Drosophila melanogaster: one gene and its partner. The gene in region 2 interacts genetically with the main gene of each other region. Each region holds a gene or a part of one and is shown on either strand. Other genes may lie near its edges.

The links. Genes that interact genetically often act in the same process or in processes that back each other up.
Region 1: of CG4080 (region 2) and Bx, changing one enhances a phenotype caused by changing the other (phenotypic enhancement), as found in Drosophila melanogaster (one study listed by BioGRID).

What each region holds. Positions count from the first base shown.
Region 1 is NC_004354.4:18,564,151-18,567,905, forward strand, and holds the start of Bx (beadex), read left to right. Parts: upstream 1-2,155; 5' UTR 2,156-2,261; coding exon 2,262-2,474; intron 2,475-2,545; coding exon 2,546-2,988; intron 2,989-3,360; coding exon 3,361-3,486; intron 3,487-3,755.
Region 2 is NT_037436.4:9,397,447-9,401,201, reverse strand, and holds the start of CG4080 (uncharacterized protein), read left to right. Parts: upstream 1-1,974; 5' UTR 1,975-2,615; coding exon 2,616-2,695; intron 2,696-3,755. Other genes in the region: eIF4E1 (eukaryotic translation initiation factor 4E1), read left to right, coding at 106-162, 249-619, 684-783, 1,018-1,105, 1,169-1,332.

The DNA of each region.
Region 1 (3,755 bases), on a different chromosome or scaffold from region 2:
TTGAGCGTCCCCAGCACACAGAGAAAAACCGGTGGGGGTGTTTGCCAAAACTATGAAACTGCAGTAGGGGGGGTTGGGAATGTGGAAAGGAAGGCGGTGGCCTGATAAAGCATTCATGCAGCCACGCCCACTTTGGCAGTGAATGGGCGTTCGCTGGTGGCAATGCAATTGAAAATGAAATTCTAATATGGACGCGCGCTTTTCCGAGCAGCGTTTAGCATTCGATTTCATTTGTCTAAACTAAATAACAATGCAGTCTGCGCTGCCACATTGGCGTTGCATGTTGCAGCTGCCAAAATTGAGTTTTGATGCGCTGCATACCCCATACCCCATACCCCATTTCCCATTTCCCGGCCTGCACTCCTACGGTCCACCAGTCCGGTCCTGTTATTGTTTGAAACGTCGCGTTAAATTTACATAAATTGATTTGATTGAATTTTTATGAGTCGGCGGCGCAGCAGTCCAGTGGCAGCCACCCAGGCATCCACTTGCACCAACCCATCTGGCATTCTGGATGCCCCCGTCGACTGGCCGGCGGGCATCAACTGCTGATGACTTTTCGACCCGCCCTCCGACGACTCACTGGCGATGGGAGGGGGCACGTGGGTATTGGGGATCGGAGGCGACCGTCTAATTAAAGTCATTTCCAGCAGCTGCATAACCCCTACACCCACAACGCCCACTCTCTGGGCCGTGGTCAAGTCGAGGTCACAGTTGGCGCTACATGGCGCAGGGCTTAATGCGAGCCATTTGGCCCGGTTGTCCGGCGATGGGCAACGGACAGGGGCAACGGACAAGGGACGACAACGGACACGGACGAGGGCAATCAGCGAAAAGAGAGGCGGCCAAAGGCAGAACCAGACACGGCACACATTGTGTGTACAACTTCTGCGGCGGGCAAAGAATGATGCACTGTGAAAAATAAAATGTGAAAGTACTTAAAGTTTCTACTGAAACTTTGAAGAGATTCGCTGACAGGCAGATTATTTTAAATTCCAAATAAGCTTCTTACTTTGTGCCAAGGACATTTAGGAACACAATTATCTCTTGTTTTTATATATAAATATTAAATATTATTTGTTGTTTCTTGAAAAAAAAAATGATGCAATGATTCCCCGCATTGTTCAGTGTAGTGAGTGCATTGCGGCATCGCTGGCATTGCATATTTTTAGGGTTTCCTCGCTGCTTGCTGAAATTTGCACATTGCAACAAACTATTTAGCGTTGGCAAGGGATGGGGGGCGCCAATTTGTCATAAATCTCGTTATTTTAAATCGCCGCTTGGCATTCCACGAAATTGTGTATGGGTAAATGGGCCTTTTGTTTGTATTGATTTGTTGTTGTTGGCTGCTCGCTTTGCTGGTTTCTGTTAACGTCAACGTTATCGGGCGACAACAGTTGAGGATAATACATACATACTATGTTGGGGGCTACGAGCACTATTTGAAGAGAGTCCAAAAATATGGGATATTATCGTAATTGGCCAAAAAAAAAAATTCCAAGTTCCTTAACATCGCTGGTTGAGTTTCTTAGCAAGGTGCTGAACGAAAGGAGAAAGTACGAAAAACGATCGCTAACTTTTTATTGGGTGATTAGCAGCGGGTCATTCAACGAGGCTCGTTGGTCTAGAGGTATGATTCTCGCTTCGGGTGCGAGAGGTCCCGGGTTCAATTCCCGGACGAGCCCAAGTGAAGAAGTAGTTTTTTTTTATTCAGCTGAAAATATGTCATGAAAATATGAATATTACACCATTTCATTGTGGAAATTGCATTTTCAAAGGGGTATTAATATTTTGCATAGTTTGCGAATTGTGTGCGAATCCAATGTGCACTTTAGTGGTCAGCCCAAAAGTATGCTGCATAATAGTGATCTTTTGTACACTGACGCCATCGCAGAGGCGCGCATTTCACAACACTGTGCCACAGCTGATAATTGCCGTTACATTTTGCCAGTGGCCGACACTTGAAGAAATTTACAATAAGGAAAATGCTATAAAAAATTTATTTGATATAACAAAAATACAATTACCAAACTATTTTTATGAGTCCAATGCATTGATTAGTGCATCTTATTTACAAAAGAGCTATTTTCTTTTGAGAACTTAGTAGCATACGATAGTTTACACGCCATAAAATGTTATTTTGTTTGTGTATTGCCAACACTGCCAACACTGCTAGAAGAAGACTCAGTAGCTTTCTGATCTTTCGCGGGTCATTTTTGTAAGAAAACTGTTGAAATCGAAGGAAACAGGAAAACATCGAAATGGAGTACCTCTACAACGCTAGTATGCATTGCGAAGATGAAGAACGCGTCAATTTCTACAACATGGACAAGTTCTTCGTGCCCCACGTGCAGTCGATTGAGCTGGAGCAGCAGGCGATCCTGCGGCAATACGTGCCCCAGTACGCTTATCAGTGGCCCTGGGGATTTGCCCCTTCCGCTTACAGTTATTACCAGGGATTCGGTAGCCTTAATGTACACACACACACAAAACTCCGGCGATGGAACCTTGAGTAATAACTATATCTTCTCCTGTCCCCTTGCAGATGATGACTATGGACATTACCAAAACCGAACCCGGTCTCGTCGGGCTTTCCTCCAACCAACAGCAGCAGCAGCAGCAGCAGTCGCAGCAAAGCAACGCCGGCATGAACAGCGGTGGCCAGAACAACGGGCCCAATCCCAATGGCAATGGGAACGTGGTCAATGTGGTCAACTCCGGCGGTGCCGGTGGCGGCAACAATGGCAACGGGAATGTCCAGAGCATCGCCGCCGCTGCCAACAATAATAACAATAACAACAACAACGGCAGCCAATTGTGCGCCGGCTGCGGCAAGCACATCCAGGACCGCTATCTCCTCCGCGCCCTGGACATGCTGTGGCACGAGGACTGCCTCAAGTGCGGCTGCTGCGACTGCCGCCTGGGCGAGGTGGGCTCCACGCTCTACACCAAGGGCAACCTGATGCTCTGCAAGCGGGACTACTTGAGGTTAGCTGCGATTTAAGAAATACTAAAACCATTTGATAGTGTAATATACCTAGAAGTATAATAGACGATGGTATTCATTAGTCATGTTAGAAGTTAAAAATGATACCAATTCTTGAGAACTCAGGTCTATAATGCTTATAGATAAAGTATTCATTATATTCTGTGACTTATTTTTAGTTTTATAAGACTTTAAGAAGCTTTCTTGCTAAGAGTAATTTATATTTAAACAGTACCTATTCTACCTAAAGCTTTTTTTTACGCATATTCAATTTAATAGCAAAGAGTAAAGATGTTTACTTAAAGAAGTCAGAACCATGTAAACCATATAAACTTCAAACTTTTTACTAATCTGTTCATAACTTTTCCCCGCAGATTGTTTGGCAACACGGGCTACTGCGCCGCCTGCAGCAAGGTGATCCCAGCCTTCGAGATGGTGATGCGTGCAAGGACCAATGTCTATCACTTGGAGTGCTTCGCTTGTCAGCAGTGTAACCACAGGTGAGCATCGAAAGGAATTTGGCCAAACTGGCCCATTGCCCCATTGTGGGGCAGACCATACATCATCCATTGTGTGGGAGAAGCGACTAAACGATTTCGCATGCATTTTTATGGGCAATTTGCACAGAGATTCGCATTGAAGGTGGCCACATGAATCCCTTTTTAATCTTTGGCCCATCGGAGCGGGCCCAAAGTGGCACTTGAAGTTTTATTAACGTGCCGCCAGACAGCAAATTGCCATCGTTTACAAGCTAACGGCTAAACAAACG
Region 2 (3,755 bases):
AGCGGCAAGTGAATCACGGCGAATCGAAACCGATCCGAACCCACTCCGGAGCCGAAAAAGAACTGATCCTACCATCAAACGCATCCAATAAACACGGCCGCCAACATGCAGAGCGACTTTCACAGAATGAAGAACTTTGCCAATCCCAAGTCCATGTTCAAAGTAATACTCTCAGTGCGCCTGTCGCTAAGCCAAGCTAATCTAATCTTCTGATTCCCCTTCCCATCCATTGCCATCTTCTCCCGCAGACCAGCGCCCCCAGCACCGAGCAGGGTCGTCCGGAACCACCAACTTCGGCTGCAGCGCCCGCCGAGGCTAAGGATGTCAAGCCCAAGGAGGACCCACAGGAGACTGGTGAACCAGCAGGCAACACTGCAACCACTACTGCTCCTGCCGGCGACGATGCTGTGCGCACCGAGCATTTATACAAACACCCGCTCATGAATGTCTGGACGCTGTGGTACCTTGAAAACGATCGGTCCAAGTCCTGGGAGGACATGCAAAACGAGATCACCAGCTTCGATACCGTCGAGGACTTCTGGAGCCTATACAACCACATCAAGCCCCCATCAGAGATCAAGCTGGGTAGTGACTACTCGCTATTCAAGAAGAACATTCGGTGGGTTTGCTGTTTATTGCAATTCTGCCAAGATAACCTTTACTAACTGATATCTCATTTGCAGTCCCATGTGGGAGGATGCAGCCAACAAACAGGGCGGTCGTTGGGTCATTACCCTTAACAAAAGCTCCAAGACCGATCTGGATAACCTATGGCTCGATGTGGTAAGTGCACAAAGAAACGAGTGGTGAGCGGATGGTCTATTTATAGTGAATGTACATTCTTGAAATGCAAAAATATAGAAATAGGTGTATGATTTTGCAATATAAATTATAACTTATAGAAAATATCAGCTAAAAATACGCTAGTGCTAGCTTTTGTCTTAGGAACATTCAATAGTGAGCTTATATCATAAATATTTTTCGCATATGAGTAACTACAACTGTTTTGCCTTCCAGCTGCTCTGCCTGATTGGTGAGGCCTTCGATCACTCTGATCAGATCTGCGGCGCTGTTATAAACATTCGCGGCAAGAGCAACAAGATATGTAAGTTTTCACGCACACCCAACTTCAGCGGAATTCCTTTGTTTAACGATTAATGCTTTCCAGCCATCTGGACTGCCGACGGAAACAACGAGGAAGCTGCCCTTGAGATTGGTCACAAGCTGCGCGATGCCCTGCGTCTGGGACGCAACAACTCGCTGCAGTATCAGTTGCACAAGGACACGATGGTCAAGCAGGGCTCCAACGTGAAATCGATCTACACTTTGTAGGCGGCTAATAACTGGCCGCTCCTTATTCGGTCCGATCCCACACTGATTATTTTGTCTTTCATTTATTTATCGTTATAAGCAACAGTAGCGATTAATCGTGACTATTGTCTAAGACCCGCGTAACGAAACCGAAACGGAACCCCCTTTGTTATCAAAAATCGGCATAATATAAAATCTATCCGCTTTTTGTAGTCACTGTCAATAATGGATTAGACGGAAAAGTATATTAATAAAAACCTACATTAAAACCGGATACTTTTGATCTTTGATTTTGGAGATATTTTAAAATAGAAAAAAGTTAACCTATATTGTTTTTGGGATAATTACTTGTTGTATTACTAAAACGAGCTTGTATCCTAATATGGGCACCTAAAGCAAAACTTCCAAATTTGGAATTCAATTTGTTGCTAAAAATACGTTAGCAATTTCTAGGGTGGCCAAAAAAAAATGTGTATCGATATATCGATAGGTTTCCTAAATAGACATTAAAATAATTTTAGCTTTTTACTTATATTGTTAGAGTAAATACGTTTGTATTTAAAAAATAAGTCAGTATTTTTTTTTTATTAACCTATTATTGAATTTTATATGAGTGAGAGCTTTTCCATTCAGCCAAGAACGGTCACACTGCATGTGACATGTTTCAATTGTGTAGGCGCAGTCACACTGGTCGCGTCGCTCGTAGATATCGTGTAAGGATATGTCTCCGTGTTTAGCTAAATAAAATACATAAAATATATGTGCAATTCTAACAAGCATAGCCATTTAGCGTAGAGTAGTGGAACGAACAGCTCGTACCGGGCCAGTAACAACAAATTAACAAGCAAACGCACTAAAGTTTGTCGCGGAATAAAGATATAATAATAGACCAGCTAACCAACACAAACAAACACACACACGGCCAGAAGTTCGTTGGCGTTGAAAGGGAAAAATGAAACGAAATGAAAGGAGAATAACAGTGCAATAGATTCGGTTTACATTGTGCAAAAAATCGAAGTAGCCCCTGCCAACAGGGTCGCTAAAAATAAAGAAGGCGACAGCCTCTGTTTATCGTTGGGAATAAACAAATATATGGCCAGCGGAGGAGAATCATAACAAAGGCGCAAGACTAGCCAGCATAAAAGACAAAGGAGCTCTCCTCCCCCGCGTCCGCCACCCCCCTCCCTTTTTGGGGTTGAAAACCCCCCACGCGTTGCGGTGCAGCATCGCCCCGACTATGCGATACCCTGCAATCGAGTTTATAGTGCTATAGAGAGAGAGAGAGAGAGCGAGTTACGAACAAAATGCCTTGCGACAACGCCAAAACCTCTTCGGATATCGAGCATGTGGATTGGAATTCCGGCCAGCACTATGCGAATGTCAGGTGAGTTTTGAATGCCCTTGATATGGCCAAAAAAAAAGGAATCCTATAAGTTATTCAAGTACACCAAAGAACAAAAAAAAAAGTAAAATAAAGAAAAACGAGAAATAAAATAAAATCAAGTGCAAGCACGCAATTGAAAAATCGTGGGATGGTTGACATTCTTCTTGGCATTGTCCATTGTTTATTTATAGCCAGGAAACGGACATGATTTAAATGTTTGATTGTTCGTCGTTTGGGAAATCACAATAATTAAGTTCTCAACGCAGGCTGCAAGTGCTAAAAATCAATGTGTGTTCTTTGCGCCACAATAAACAAATCCAGCTGTCCATACCGACACGCAGATAAGATATACCTTAATCGAAATGAAAACGAAAATAACCCAATTTCAAGCAGCGATTGATTCATTCCCTTAATTTGTTGCTCTGCACCAACATCAACTGTTGAGATCTCAATCGTCGTAATCCCCATCTAACGCCTGCTAATGACAATCATTAGGCAATAGTTAACAACATTGACTTGTACTTACTTACTTACCATACTAGTTCCATGCCGATCGGCAACTTCGATTGAAATGCAAATATGGACACTACGATGCTGGGAAGGTGACAAGATCTTGACGCGAGGCGCCAGCTGTTATCTGTTTATACAATTATAGGTTTATAAATTACGCGCGATTTATTTATATTGCAATCTGACGTGACAGCGGGGCATTGACCATACCCAATACTCTTACGACTTTTAATGAAGCCAATGAGGTCTAAAATGAAGATAAATCATAAATATAATTATATATCAGTCATTGAAGACGTTCTCCATAACTAAAGCAGTTTAATGGTACTGGCTTTTCGATTCACTTAATTCGTATTGTTTGGTATTAGTATTTGTGGCTACCAACTTTTATTTGCCTCATAGATGTTGTATCTTTATCTTTAGTTATTCATCAAATTTTCAATGGAACGCTCTTAAATAAACATATTTACTCAATTGTATTTGAATGTTGAGAAATGCGGCTCTTGCGTAGCTATAATTTATATATGTATGCTCGTATTTTGTGAAATAC